2 linked regions of the Lepisosteus oculatus genome follow. The protein of the gene in region 1 purifies or fractionates together with the protein of each later gene. This does not show direct contact. Links are inferred from orthologs where the notes say so. Each region holds a gene or a part of one and is shown on either strand. Other genes may lie near its edges.

What was found.
Region 2: the proteins of exoc3 (region 1) and exoc8 purify together in Homo sapiens (affinity purification with mass spectrometry; 5 studies listed by BioGRID and IntAct, counting the BioPlex papers as one, with this or other methods). This does not show direct contact. The link is inferred for Lepisosteus oculatus from reciprocal best matches to the Homo sapiens genes EXOC3 and EXOC8.

What each region holds. Positions count from the first base shown.
Region 1 is NC_090701.1:3,226,758-3,234,763, reverse strand, and holds the start of exoc3 (exocyst complex component 3), read right to left. Parts: upstream 3,007-8,006; 5' UTR 2,461-3,006; intron 2,435-2,460; exon of another isoform or gene 811-2,434; intron 26-810; 5' UTR 17-25; coding exon 1-16. UniProt on the Homo sapiens protein: Component of the exocyst complex involved in the docking of exocytic vesicles with fusion sites on the plasma membrane.
Region 2 is NC_090697.1:55,327,096-55,335,076, reverse strand, and holds the start of exoc8 (exocyst complex component 8), read right to left. Parts: upstream 3,017-7,981; 5' UTR 2,874-3,016; coding exon 819-2,873; 3' UTR 1-818. Other genes in the region: DNA-dependent metalloprotease SPRTN, read left to right, coding at 3,526-3,839, 4,899-4,998, 5,701-5,829, 7,810-7,981. UniProt on the Homo sapiens protein: Component of the exocyst complex involved in the docking of exocytic vesicles with fusion sites on the plasma membrane.

The sequences.
Region 1 (8,006 bases):
TGTCCGTCTCCTCCATTGCCGCCGCCTGCAAGCAGAGGAGTCGCTATGAGCGGCGGGGCCAGCCGCGGACCGGGCTCTGGGGCTGGGGCGCGGGGAGCCGAGCAGCGACACAGGAAGAACAGACGTTCCCACGCGAGGTACCTTCAATAATCGCCAGTGATACTGACAATCCCAACAACCACCTCCCTCCTCACACAGCTATAATGTGTGATGATAATGTTTCTTTATTAGCCCTATACAATTTCTTGCATTAGGAATTCGTCTTTTCGCATACCCCAGCTTTTCTCCATGGAGACACAGACACACAGACAGGGAGAGAAGCTGGGGGTCAGAGCGCTGGGTCTGCCATTGTACGGCGCCCCTGGAGCAGTTAGGGTGAAGGGCCTTGCTCAGGGTCCCAACGGAGTAGGATTCCTCTGCCAGCTGCAGGATTTGAACCAGCAACCTTCCAGCCACAGGCACAGATCCTGAGCCACAGAGCCACCCCTCCGCCCTCCTCTCAAAGCTGAGATAGGCCTGAGAGACAACAGATTTACAGACTTTACTAGCTCTCTAGCGACAGAGTCTATGGTCAGGAACTGTCCTAGCCCTTCTGAACTACTTGTTTGCTGATCCTCCCATTTTTGTATCAACGGCACCAATTTGACTACTTTACTCTATCAGAATCTAGATTCTTGTTCTAAATCAGAAAGGGCAGTGGTCCTAGTACAGACCCCTGTGGTACTCCACCAATTACTAGATCTTCTATCAAACAATTCTCAAATTAAACACACAAACATTTCCTCCAAATGTCCAAAACCTCTCATTTACCTTTTCTGTATCTATGCCGATTATCCCTTAGGAACTTAATTCCATATAGGCAATCCACTAGTTTATGTCAAATGATAGTTTCTTTAACCCTACATGCAACAGAAGTCAAACATATTTGTCTTACTCCAGTTTTCTCACTAATTCTACGGATGGACATGTTATTAGCAATTCTCCAGTCCCTGGTTCCTTCCCCTGTCTTCAGGGACGGCTGGGAGAGCTGCATCCATGGCTTCTGAAAAACATCTCTAGTTTCCACGAGTGCAATTAAAGAAGATTCTGTCAGGCCCTGGGGATTCAATCATCCTGAGAACTTAAACTCTCAGTTTTTGGAATATTTCTCAAACATTAGAGTTGTGTGGGCTCTGTGAAACAGCAAGTACAATGACGTGTCTGAATTCTAAAATAAACCTCTTCAGCCATTTAGGAATGTTAAATCACCTGATTAAAGACAAAAGAAAATCATTCGGTCATGCCGAGATAAAAAAAAAACAAACAAAAAAAGACAATTTTCCACTTTGTTACATCTGGTTTCTGATTTTCCTTCAAACCTTTCTAATTTGTACCACTTGGCACAATAAAAGGATTTCCATTTCGGACAAAATTCTAGGGTGCCTGAAAAAAGCAAAACCACAACGCACGCAACAGTTTGACATTTCCAGAAACAGAAGGTCAGAGAGTTCCAAAGCACTTCAGTGGTTGATTTGAGTGTCATGAAAGTTTTTCTCTCAGCTAGTGCCTGTTTCAATACATTTATTCCTGTCCACCTGACAGGTTAAGGGTATGGAGTCTGCAATACACTGATTTCTACACGTAATAAATGAGTGTATATTCAATTCTGTCTTCTTAGCAAGCAATGTGCACTTGGCAGCACACTGTTACACAAAATGAGAAATCATATTCTACACGTCTGCTTGGCAATGTATGTGCCTTCAATGTGATTGCCAGGGGTTTATGGTAACCTGTACTTGTCCACCTACTAATAAACACTACCGTGTCACAATAAACACTACCGTACGCACACAAACTGACACTTTGCAAACACACACCAACATTATCATTGCAAACATTACTTTGTGCACACAATCGCAAAGTACTTGACACGCACAACAATGCGTATAAATTGCGTGCACAAGAGATTCTTTGCCCTTAATATGGAAAGCATCTTGCACCCGTAACAATGTGAATTAACAGCGTTTTCAGCACTAATCCACCACGACATTAATCAACAAATCTGATATATTTCGATCCGGTAGATAAGCAATTACCTCTACCATGCCGAAGCAATTAATAAGAGTTGGCTGTAAATGTAAACAGTACATCTGAGGAGTTTAGCAAAGAAGCCCTCTCTTTGCAAAACGTCAAAGCACGGTGCTCAAGTACCGTATGCAAATCGGTTTCATCATTATTTCTTATTTAAGCTTGTATTATTACTGCTAGCATCTGCGCGTTTCGTCTGTTTATGCGAAGAACTGCGTGTTGTTGAGCGCTACGTGCTGCGATTGTCCCGCAAGACGCACAACCACAAAAGCCTTTCCCAAAACCAGGATCTGACAGCAAGTTTCCAGGCACGGCAAATGGAAAAATATCTACAGGCCCAGGTGACAGCCGGAACAATTTCGTTTCCTCCCGACGGTAAAAACAGGGACTCACCGCGCACCTACCTGTGAGTGATTTCCGAGGGAGTTGAAAACACACCGTTAAACAGACTGCATTAATAAATGCATCCCATATTCTAGATCACAAAATAAAAACTACCCTTCTCGGTCGCGGTTCGCTGTACGCCGCCCAACTCGCCACAACTGACTGCCACAACTTCCTATTCGGGTTGCCTTGCATTCTGGGAGTTGGAGTTTTCTCAAGTTCCTACAACAAAGACTGCAAAAATTCAAGATACAGTGCACGGACAGTATAGTCTATATAATATTCGAGCCAAGGCCAACCAAGTGACACATGTACTTGCCCTCTGCGATTTTTTTTATGGCTAACACGACATAGTTTTAAAACTTCAGTACGCTGAGAAACGAGCTCCAGCATAATATGTTCTACTACTGTACAAATGTAGTTTGATTTGCTACCATGGCTATCTGACAGCTAGCCTCTCACTTATGTCATTCGAAAATTCCCTAAAACCTGCTACCAAAAAGAAAATAAAACCTTAGAGCTGAGTACTTGGTGCCCATAAAAGAATGAAACTCTGTATTTGGGACAAATCAGTAACAGTCCACCTTTTAAAACAAAATCAACAATATTAGATTCTAAACCGCCAACAACATTGAACGGAATGCTGGGATGGGCTTACTGTTTCAATGACAAGGGTGACAGTACAATGCCCTTGCCAGACCTTCACCATCTGTGCAGGACAGTGGTGTTATCTCTCGTCTTCTGTAGGTAACAGTCTGTACCGAAACACCCGCCGTGCAGAAGCACACATCTGGTAAGGGACCCACAGTCCGATGAGACTGTTTCTCCTAAGCAGTTCAGCAGTTCAGCTCACAGACCTCAAGAACCACGTCTCTGTGCAAAGTGCATTCATCTTCAGCCCGAACTAGCTGCTTCTGTTTTTTATGAGCTTGTTCATGCTCCTACCGCCACTGAGGAATTCCTCTACCTTTTAATTTTAACATACTTTTAAAATGCAAAGGGCACTATCATTATTGCCATTATTCATGTGCACTCTTAAATGCAGTTTCATGTTTAAGTTAACGTTCATTACTAAAATGCTTAGAAATCCAGTATACTGTTTGTCTGAGTGGGGGGGGGCTGAGTTACTCCGTACTGGAGGAAGAAAAGGTTAACTACACCCTACAAAACACCGATACACCTGGAGAAGGTTCAATGGCTGAATCGTGGTGTTTCTTCCTTCATCATGGAGGTTTCTTGCTCTTTTGAAATCCATGGGCTGTTGTCCTTGGTGGTGTTTTCACTTGAAAGTGAGCAATGTCAGGGGTGAGGCTGGCAGGAGCTGTTTGCAGGATGTGAAATGTGGCCTTTGGCACAGCCCTTGCCCTGTCCTGAGCTGTCCTGCGTTAACTCCAGCTAACTCCAGCTGTTCGTTTACCATGCAGTAATCAGCACCACTCCACCGACTGCAGCGAATCCGGGAGGTGTCTTCCGTTCGGAAAGCTTCCCAGAAGGCGACGAGAGCACAGTTTTCAATTCCCGGAGTCGTGTGAAGGGACCTCCCCATCAGAGTTCACACCACATTTGTCACAAACCAGGCGCTGTTCCTACAGATGTGGGCTTCATCTCATTTGGGTTTCATTTCCAAACGAAAAGCCTCAGCAGGAAGTGGTGAAAAGATGGGAGAGAGTCTAATGCAGGAAACTACTGTACACTCCTTAAAGAGTCTCATGAGTGTCGGCAACTGCAACATTCACCTCCTTTTTAGATAAATATTGCTCCCTAGCATTGCTTGAAACATAAACCTTCAACAAGATTGTGAACATAATACACCTTAGGGTTCACAATCTTGTTGAAGGTTTATGGGGTTTAAAAGCTGTTACGCAGCTATTGTAGACTGTTTTATAAAATAATGTTTGCAAAATATTTACAGTAATGCAAACCCTTACACCTTAATTTTACAATGATTTACACATTATATGTATATGTTACACTGAAGATAAATATCAAACGTATAACTGTCTCTTAGAAATATTTGCATCAGGTTATGTAAATCAAAAGTAAAATATTTATATGGGTTATTCACAATATTTATAAATGACTTCACAAGAGAATTGGAGAGACAGTACAATATATCAATTGTTATTAGTCCATGATCCAGTGAGGACAATGATTAGGATTCATTATTTAATGTATTTGCTGTATTTTCCAATAAAACATGATAGTCTCTACTAAATAAAACATTCCAGGATCCAAAAGACAGTAAATCATTAAATTGTGGTACAGTGGGCTCTGAAATAAAATAGGCCATTGAAGGTATTGTCAGCTTGTCATGTATATGTTTATCTCTTTTCCTAAACCTGCCACTAATCATCTTAAAAGGGCTTATCCCAGTCACTGATCCATAGTACTGGGTACTGTTGTTTGTTTGTTTGTTTGTTTTTTTGACCTGGCATGCCAGTTGTAATCTGAGGGATTAAGTGTCATTCAACAAACCCAACTTGAACATAGAATGGCAAATGAAATTTCAAATCAGAGCCTGTCCATCTCTTCTCGTGAAGTCTGGCTAAGCATCACCAGCTTAAAAGAGAACCTGGTGAATTGTGGGTACAGTATTTTAGCTGCTGCGGCGAGGCTATCTAGAATACCCTCCAGAAACCTGAATAAATCAGGTTCACTTTTAAAAAGGTGCAGCAGGTCTGTAGCTGTTGCTTTAGAAATACAATAAATGCAAACAACTTAAATAATGTTTGTTAAAAATGATCTCTGCATAGAATATCTTCAGTGTGGAAATGTTCTGAGGCGTGAGATTCTCTGCCCTTGTCAGAGAGCTTCCTGACCATTTTAAATTATGTATTCTTTTAAGGAACTCATGTTCAAATCCAATTACGTACAGTACAGTACAGTACCATTTGCTTCTTGGCAAGCTTCTTTTGAGAACTAAAACTGAGTGATCTGATCGAAGCGAAGTCCTAACGCGTTGAGGATCTTTAGAATCAGTCGGATTCACATTTTCGTGCCAGACTTTGGGGTAATTCAACTTCATAATATTAAATAAAGATCAAGATTCTTTGTGCGGTGAGAGCAAGCAGTCTCTCTACGCATTTTATTCTTTGACATGTAACACATCACTCTCGGCTTGTGTCTGAAGGTGTTCCAGCTGAAATCTTCCCAGAAGTGGGACCGCCAGGCAGCCGGAGGGGCGAGGAGCATGTGGGATCAAAAGTAACCCCTTTTGAACGGAATGACACTTTGCCGGGGTAGGAGTAGTTTTATATGCAAACTACTGCTGTTCGCCATGCCGGAGTTTATCCTGGTCTCTGTAATGAGCAAACACGTACAGTAACTCCACCCTCTCCGCGCACCTTACCTCAGGATATTTACATGAGCTGGAAAGGACACCGAGTGAGAGGTACAGTACCTGGCACCAGACCCTTGCTCAATGAATGAAGAGATCTGCTTTTTAAATGGTATTTGTCACCCAAGACAAGTTAGGTGGCGTTTTCCGCTAAAACGCATTTGGTTTGTAATGACCCTATTTTAAACTGTTTATAGCACTTGGGAATAAGAAGCATTGATTGCTGTGTGATCTTCTGGTATGCTCTCTGAACAACACGAACCAGAGCGCCGACAGTATTAACTGCCTGTAACACAACGCGGTTCCTCTTTTGTAGGTCAGTTCGTGAGAGACCCAGTGAACACCTGACGAGTCGAGAACGGTGACAGACCGAACTTATTGCACTTCTGTGTTTTGCTTATGCATTTCGGTATAGGTACGATTAAAGGGATCTTACAATTATCACAGATAAAAGAAGAGAAAATGTATGTGTAAGTGTGGTTTTCCTTGGCATAAAAGACTGGAAACATTCTTTGAGGAAAAAAAAAGGCTTTCAGTGCATTCAGAAACCGTGCAGTCATTAAATCCTGTTTTTACAGTTGTGCATTAATCACTCCAGTTTTCTTAACAATTATGTCATCAAACGCGTTCACATTCCTAGATTTATTTTAACTGAAGCCCTGAACAATTAGAATATGAGGTCTGAGCATGGCAGCATGACTGACTAGTATTCTCCGAGGGCGTTCTTGTGTTGAAGCAGATTCCTCTCCACATCGTCGTGCTTCTGCTGCCTAGTCCAGACACTCAGAACCACACGCAACATGACATCGCACACACTTCGCCGTCCGCCAGGTCTAACAAAGGGCCAAACATCATCCGCGGGCAAACGCGACACTCCCACACTCCCACGGTCTCCATCCCCACGTTCTCGGCTTCACAGAGAACCGCGATTTAGTCTCCCAGCTGTCAACCTGTGAGCCCTGAATGCCCTCCAAGCATGCAGATAATCTTCATGCAGATTTGTGAGCTACAGTCATTCTTCTTCAAGGATGCTCTTGAGTTGTAGCTGTGCCACCTAAAAACTGATTACATAGGTGGGTCAGAACGACATGCAGTCTGGTGACTCTCTGCCTCCCAGTATGTGGCCTGTCCTGCGCAGTGCCAGTTACCTGTTTATTCCGCTGAAAGTTGTTGAAACAGACCATCTAAATTTTGGGGGCAGCGTCTGTCTTAGTCACTTTTAATCATGCCAGTAGAAACCAGACAGTTTTCTTTAACCAGGAGGAATCTACTCTAGATACCTCAACTACATGAATTAAAATCAAGTTCTTCAAGGAATACTAATAATAATACTGAAATGATCATCAAACCTCTCTGCCCAGTAAAGACAGATACATTATGTTAATTTCATTTAAAATGTAAATAACATAACGTATGTGCCCAATGAGTTGTTGATATGCTGTACAACTTAAAACTGTTGTGTTTCCATGGTGTATCAGAAGGTGCACAAACAGAGTACAAACCTTGGGGTACAAATAGTAGTGAATATCATGAGGATCTACTGTCATTAAGTGTTTTTGGAATCACAACCTTTAAAAGTCTGTCACTTCCTCTCTGTTCGTGAGATAAGCAATACGTCAAAATGACTCTATCAGTTCTGAAAGTTTTATTGAAGTTTTGTCAAAAAAATACACACAAAATATTATTGAGAAAATGCTGCAATACATATTGTAGGTGCTGCTTTGCAGCTACAAGATTAGCTGAAGAGCTTGTTTCATTTACTAATGTATTGATCTTAAAGGGTATATTTAGGAAAAGGAAGACTAGAAATTCTGCCTTTTTGTCTTATATGAAATAGCGCAAAGCCCCCAGACAATAATTTTAAATAAACATTTCTGCTAGGTTGCTGACAATAAATACAAAACATTGGACACATTATGATATTGTACATAAAACAGAACCAAAGCAATGATTTTAAAATGCGAAACATCAAACCTGTGCATGTCAATTCGACATTATGTCTAGGTAGCAGTAAGATTCATTATCCAGTTCTTTAGTGCAAGCTCAAAAAAGAAACTGAAAGGAAGCATAAAAAACAGTAGCTTTATGTGGGTATGAAATGTTCTGCCAAGGTGAATTAACCTCAATCCAAATATACACACCTGGGCAAGCATTACCATCCTTGGCAACATACACAGCTCAAAGTCTATAATTCCCCTTTGTGGAGTTATTGAAACAT
Region 2 (7,981 bases), on another chromosome or scaffold:
ATAATCTCTTTTTCTGAAAATTAGTTCATATTTGTAAAGCGCTATGGCACAAGAGAGAGTTAATAATTTCACTTTTATTTCCATGCATTATATGCCATTTCAGGGTTCATGAAAATGAAAAGACTTAATTTGAGGTTTTGTTAGCCAATGAATGCTTTGGCAAAAATGAATTAGGCAATTTGTTTCTCCTCCATGCGGTTATTTGAAAAAATGTAAAAGGTTCTGACTGTTAGATGAATATTCCCTACAACAGGTATATATTCCAGTATAAACAGCTTGACAAGAAATACTTTTCAAAGCTGAAGAAATACCCACAGCAAGGGGAGGCTGGCAGACATAAGATTATTGTGATTTTAGAACTTTCTATAAGTGTAATTTACTCACCCTGGACACTTTCTGCCTATCAGCTCAGAGATGTCTTTTAAGGCAATTTTGTCTTTTTGTATTTTTATATGACATATATCCCTTAGCAGAACCAGAAAAGGAAATGAAATCAGCCTCACATGCTGTACAGAGATGAGTATGAAGTGAAAAGAAAAAAAAAATCAAAGTTCAATACAGCTGATGTAGCCATCTTCAAGAATTTAAGCAGAGAAAGTAACATCACCTTAACTGCTGTCATTCTTTTTTTTAAAGAAATTGCAAAAGCAATGACAGAAAATTAAACATAATAAGTTACATTTCCAACTGGCTAATGCTCACAAACTGATTCTCTTAGCAGAAACCCAGCTCCCACGACACGCGACCTGAGCAATGAAATCCCGCAATCACTGGAATTGCGCTGTGAAATTCTGTTCATGGGTTGGAAAACTGTCCTCTTACACTAGAGAGGTTGTACTATCAGGGTTGACGCGCATCATTCGTGACCCATTCCTTAGTTCCTGCAGTTGCTTGGCTGGCTTCCCCACTCCTTCTTCAAATCGCTTCTCCACCACAGGAAGGACCGTTTCGTAGAGGAAGGATGCGTTCTGAACGATAAAGGCTTTTTTCTCAGTCTCCTGCTCGCATCGCAGGCTGTAGTCCACATGCTGAACAGCAACCAGAATTATTTCCCGCAGGCTCTCCAGGAGCACCATGTGCAGCTCAGGGAAGTAGAGCTTCAGCCCTTCCTCCAGGAAGGCCATCATTTGCTTGGTAAAGGCAACGATGGTGTAGCTGAGATTTACCCAGCAGTCGTCACCAGTGTACTGCTCAAAGCTGCCCACCCCACAGTTGCGCATCTCTTCTTTCAATTTCCCTAGGGCCTCAGGGGTCATCAAGTTCATTTTGCGCCACATTTCCTCAGAGTTGCGGTGCTTCGTGGCCTCAATGATGATCTCCTTATAGCTGTGAAGGGCAGCTTTGATGTCTTTGACTAGGAGAGACTGGAGGGTGAAGGTGAGGTCCAGACCAATTTCACTTAGTTGCATGCAATGTTCCTTTGCGACCTTCACACACTCGGCAGCAGTGGAGAGGTTCTCCTTGCTATCAAAGACCTGCTTGCTGAAGGCATCCACAAACATCCTCATGGCTGAACGAGACCACACCACAAATGCGGAGTAGCACCCAGTGTTCCCAGCAAAGTCCATCTCAAACTCCTTGGCGGTCTCAAGCAGGCTGGTGAAGAAGATGTTGCAGAGCTTGTGTATGTACAGCAAGGTGGCACCCTCGATACGCAGCTGACGGATGGCTGTTTGAACGGCAGCTGCCCTGTTCTTCAGGAAGAGCTCACAGGCCTTGGTGGACTGGCCCAGACGGATCAGCTGGGAAACTGCGCGCCGTGTGGCTTTGGGGCCACCCCGCAGGGACCGGTCTGGGGAGAGCTCGAATACCAGGACCTCGGTCAGCTGCCGCACCCTCTCATCTACCTTGACCCTCAGCTCCTTGACGGCCTGGTTCACTGGTTGGTCTTTCAGGTACTCATTCAGCTTGTCCAACAGGTCTACAGCTCCTTCAAAGTCACGCTGTGCAATGCAGACATCTAGATCCTCTGGCAACTCCTGAATCCATTCTAAGCTCAAGTCCACAGTCTCCTGCAAACCCATGGCCTCTTCCTCATCAAAAGGGTTGTTTGACACTTCTTGTCGCACTGGGGAATTGGGTGTCTCCTCCTCTTTCTTGTGCCTCTCCTTCACTGCCTTATTTTTTTTGGTTTCATCCAGAATCTCCAGCCACTCTTTCTTAATCTTACTGTTCTCTGCCTGGAAGATCCTGCTATCTGGAAACATCAAGATTTTGAACATGTCTTTCATGGGGGGGTTGTCTTTCACATTGACTATAGCAAAGCTGTCCAGGTCGTACAGGGCGTTGTACTTGTACCTCACTGCACCCCGTCGGTTGGGAAGCCAAGTAGCAATGAGAAGGCAATCATTCATCAAAAAGGCATGAACCTTTTGGATTTGGGACATGTTATCAACATCATATTCCAACAAATCTCCGTTATAAACTAAATACCTTCCAGGGGTCTCCATAATGTTTTTACAGCCCTCTACTTTCTCCAGAAGTGTTGTTAGCGTTCTCTGCTTTAACTCTTCGGTTTCCTTCGGGAAGGCAGCCAGCATTTCCTTCGCAGCTTCATCTTTGTCCGTGGAGAGCAGCGTCTGAGTGATGCTCTCCATTATACTCTTCTGTTCGGTTAGAATGTGGCTGAGCTGATACATTTCGCTCTCCAAATAAGAAATTTCTTTGGCAGTCTCGATAAACTGTCTGTAATTCTTGTAGACATTCTTCTTGAGGTTTTGTGCCGTCTCATCTGCCAGATTTTGTATTTTTTGCCTGTGCTCTTGCAGGTCTCTGTCACCATCTGACTGCTGAGAGAGCTGCTTAACATAATTCTGTGGATCGAAATTTGGCGATTCCAGTTGCTTACGTAGTCTGTTTGCAGTGTCTGCCATTTCCCTTTTCACAGTATCACTAGTGAAAAAAAAACTCGTCAGGTTTATGTTTATACTGCGTGTCCGAATTATTTCACGGAAACAGCCGGAAACCTCTTACAATAACAAACTGACCAACTCCCAGTGAAATCATAGGACCTTCTTTTTTTTCTGGGTGGCCAACAATGAGGTGCTCTACAAAAAACAGAATTCAATAATTTAATAAAAATATGGTTCCTTGTGTAATAAAAAAAGAAAAATAGTTTAATAATTCAACAAAAGTGTGTTTTTTTTCTTAAAAATTCAGATAATCTCCCATTATCATATTTTTTGGAATAAATTTATCACCATGAACTCCGAGTAAGTACATAGTAGGACAATGATATACAGGAAGAAGACGAGGGAGGGTAATCGTATCCCAGCATGCAGTTCAATATAGCAGCTGTTCATTTTTTATTCAACATAGGTGGTTGGTTTTATACACTCGGGCTGTTAAGTTTGTTTTTTAAAGATAAGATGTTACACTTTTATGTGAATAGCAATGATTTTATGAAACTGCCGTCATGTCTTCATTGAAAAAACACAAGAAATAGAGATGGGGAAAACTAACTTTTTTTTCACTTTGACGATAGCTAACTAGTAATTAGCTTCAGTGAACAGTGCTAGTATTGGGATGTCAATGGACGAGGATTTCTTGCTAGCTCTTCAGTTACAGGACCAATTTGATCAAGAAGCGTCCGTCTCCATCGTTGACGACGATGACGATTACGTTCAAAATAAGAAGAGGAGAGTGGAAACCAGTGATGAGCTTGTTACTTACCCTCGGTCCTCTTTTAGACCTGAGAGACCGCTGTCCATAGTGGACGAGTCGTGGGAGATGCTGGACCCCAGCCCCGATGTCAGGGCGATGTTCCTGCAGTTCAACGACATGTTCTTCTGGGGCAGACTGGCCGGGGTGGAGGTGAAATGGAGCCCACGAATGACACTGTAAGCCACCCAACTTTTCCGTTGCTTGGGAATGACATCCAGTATACCCTGGAGATGCTCCGCTGCCACGTTTTATATTCCAACATGATGTTACTGCATTTCATAGTCGTTCCGCTAAGTACCCGTGATAAATAATGTCGAACAGATTCATACCCCACGTTTATATTTCAACATTTCAAAAACTGTAGCTAATGATAGATTTAAACTCCTTTAAAAAGAAAGTAAGACTTTTTTTAAAGAGTTTTATTAGCAGTTCGATCCATGTATGGTTTTGTGAGCTTTAAAAATCTACCGAGTATTTTTTTGCTCTTCTTATGTGCATAGATAATTAAAATACTAAAATTATCTGCTTTCTGCTTAATCCGTTTAAATTGTGTGGATGATTGGCGTTTGTAAAAGTCTGCCACATAGTTGGAAGAAGTCTTATCTGATTCTCATGTTGTGAATATAACGCTTATATAATTATATAATATTAAATATTCCTATATCTATTGTATATACAGTACTATATATTAGTATTACTATTATTGGAGTGGAGCGCACTTTAAGGCACAGTAGGACAAGTGTTAAAAATTAGGCTAGCTCTTGAATAGTCTTGAATAGTCCTGAGTACTTCTTGATATTTAGTTTTCCAGATATTTAGATTCGTAAACATTAGACTGTCATTTCAAAAGTTTTTTTTTCCCTTCTCATAAAATACCCTAGTTTTTTGGGGGAATGACGGAGTTATACAAGTTGAGGCTACTGCTATTTACTCAGATGCAGGGGTAGACATATTTGTATTTGTATGCAAGTCTGATCCATTTCAGATTTTGTGAGCTGTATGCTTTTGATAAATGAAACTGATGACACAAGTAATCAGATATGCATGTGTGTGTAAACAGGGTATTTAGAATTTATTATTTCCAGTTTTGTCTCTGCAGTTTCCTTAAATAAGGTGACAAGCTTTAAATATCCTGCAAGATCCTACCCTTCACGGAGCCTAAAATCTGAAATGGCTCTAACTGCTGTGAAGTGGGAGTGCGGGATGGTTTGAAAGGTGCTGTTTTCCTGCCACAGGTGTGCAGGTGTGTGCTCATACGAAGGGCGAGGAGGCCTGTGCTCAATCCGCCTCAGCGAACCGTTGTTGAAGCTCAGACCGCGGCGGGACCTGGTTGAGGTCAGTCCTGCCGGTCTGCTGCATCGGCTTGCGTTACCTGTGGAATTTCCAAGGCTAAACTAACAAAGCCCCACAGTCTTGTGCCCTTGTTCTTTATTTTCTGAATTTCTGAATTCTGAATTTCTGAAATCCAGTAACTTTTACTTAGAAGTGAATGAAAGGACAAGTTGAGTTTGTCGTTATTGCCAAACAAGTTAACTGAGCATCAAAAGAAACATAAGCCTTACAACTGCAACCCTTACCATCAGGTGCACTGATATTTTATTGACCAGGTTGTTAATGCTGTCTTGTGCAATTGTGTCCCATTACTCTGAAAGAGCCTAGACACACATCACTGGGCTGGTTCACTGGTCTCTGAGCCCTAGATGCCAAACTTTGTCCCAGCTCATCCAGCTGGTCTTTAATGGGGCTCACGTGAATCCAGGATGCATTCAGTTTATACTTTCTGAGCCCTCACCAGTCTGCATATACTACCACTCTAAATTTCCTATTAAATTCCTACATTCACTGTATTACACACTTAAGTGATTAAGTCAAGGCATTTGTTTGCAGTAGGTAGTAAATACGCATCTCCCTCTGAGTTTTCAATGCTGTCACATGTCTGGAAAAGTGTTCAGTGCACTGAACTTAAGAAAGTAGAAAAGGTTATTTTTTTAAAAGTTCATGACATGAGTATGACTGAATATTTGTGTTTTTTTCCAGACGCTCTTACATGAGATGATCCATGCGTTGCTTTTTGTCACTCAAAATAACCGCGATCGGGATGGACATGGACCAGAGTTCTGCAAGCATATGAACAGGATCAACAAAGCCAGCGGGACCAACATTACTGTAGGTGACTGATGGGGAAGAAAGCACTTTTTATATAAGAACAACATTAGAGTTTGTTTTTCAAAAATAAAAATCAGTTATTTAAAAGGTCCTTCAAATTATTTCAGTTTTTTGTTTTGCGTTAACACCACAGTGAGGTTTTGTTCTTAAGTCATAACGTTGATTTTTTTTCTTGAACAAGTCTTGGATTTATTTAAACCCCAGCCCCACTGAGGAGGGGAGAGAACAAAAGTAAAAACAAAAGAGAAAGAAAAGAAAGAAAAACAGGGAGCAAAAGGTACTAAGACAATCAATATGAAACATCAGATATACGAGCAGTGTCCAAAGCCAACATTGTAGCAAAAAGTACAGGGTGCTGCCAAGCTTTCTTTCTAGAAGCAAATTATCATGTAAACATCCTGACCAAACACAAGAAAAAGAAATCAGGCTCTATTACATATCATGCCATAGCCTTTTATGCTGCAGTTATCGCTGCTAAGAAAACTAATTTGTAAAGCATTAAAAGTCAAGAGCATTGAGTTATTTCATATCTCAGGAGATGGGGGATGATATTATCCCACATATAGCTCAACACAGACCTCACATATTTCCAAAATGTATTAAAATGTGTAAAATAAGTGCCCATTACCCCAGATATAGAGAGGCAGGGAAGATCTGTTGAAACTCATCTGACCTCTCTGTCTATGGTAACATAGGCCCTGTGGATAAACATGGAACTAATAAGGTGGTGTGCCAGGTTTTTGGATGATGATGATTATAATAATCCTTACAGGATTACAGAATTTCAAGTGGCTGCTCTGCTCAGAGCACTTTCCAAGTAATGGAGACTCCCCTCCACCACCTCCAATGTGTAGCCCCTACCTTGATGATGTAATGGCAGCCATAGAGCACACAGGACACTCACCACACATCAGCTATCAGTGGGCAGGAGAACAGAGTGATGAAGCCAGTTCATAGATGGAATAATATTACCCCAGATATGACATGTGGCTTAATGTTAGTTTATTCTTTTCTCTTTGCTGCAAAACTGTCATGTTATGTTTATGTGCTTTATATTTAGCTCTTAATAAATCAAAGGAATATGTATATTTACTATAAATATATAGGAATATTCTATTTTTGCCTAGTTCTGTTGTGTATTATGCAGTTATCACTTAATTTTTTATTTTAATGTTTTTGAATAAAGGAACTACATTTTCTTCATATTACTTTATTGTTGGCTGCAATAGTATATAGAGTATGACATTTAAATTTGTTTAGGTCTGCACAATGCATTTTTCAATACATAACCATTATTTTATTTTCAGTTTTTTCTGATTATTTTAATGATCTTAAGCGATGCAATCATTCAGAGTGATTGTGAAGTTCTTGAACAAATATAACACACAAGGCTATCCTGTAAAGCTTCACATTTTTATTCATAATATTCACTGCTTTTAGGATGACATTTTCAAGTGCCTAGATTTATCCATGTCAATTTCAAAAAAGAGAGGAAAGCAGGTTTTACTTGTAAAACATGAGCTTCCAAGCAAGAAGACAAACTGCAGCATTTGCCTAGTTCCAGTACTTTTGCTAAACCTTGTGAACCTTTTACTGAAAAAAACAATGAACTGGGTGATCCAATATAGTACCTTTTCAGTTATAACTGATCTTATGTTCTTTAGCAGGAAGGCAGGTAAAAACAGTTCCAGTCTCAGCTAATCCCAACAGTGGACACCTGTGCATTGGCCCATGATGAGTATGACTCCTATTCTTTTGTGCCATAATAAATGCCATTCTGACCCCAGAGCCAGCTTCACGGGATGGGAGAATGAGACAGGAGACAGACTTTAGCTTGAAATGCAGTAGGAGAACTTTAGATTTTATAACCTATTTTTGGATTTTTTCACAATATCGGCCATGCCACATGGGGGAGGGGTTGGCAGTTTGGCAAAATTGGATGATCGGCGAGTGCTGATGGATTTCCGCGGTGTCTTTCAGATCTACCACAGCTTCCATGATGAGGTGGACCTGTACCGGACACACTGGTGGCGCTGCGACGGCCCATGCCAGACCCGCCGGCCCTTCTTTGGGTACGTGAAGCGTGCGACTAATCGAGCCCCCTCTGCCCGAGACCCCTGGTGGCATCAACACCAGCAAACATGCGGGGGCA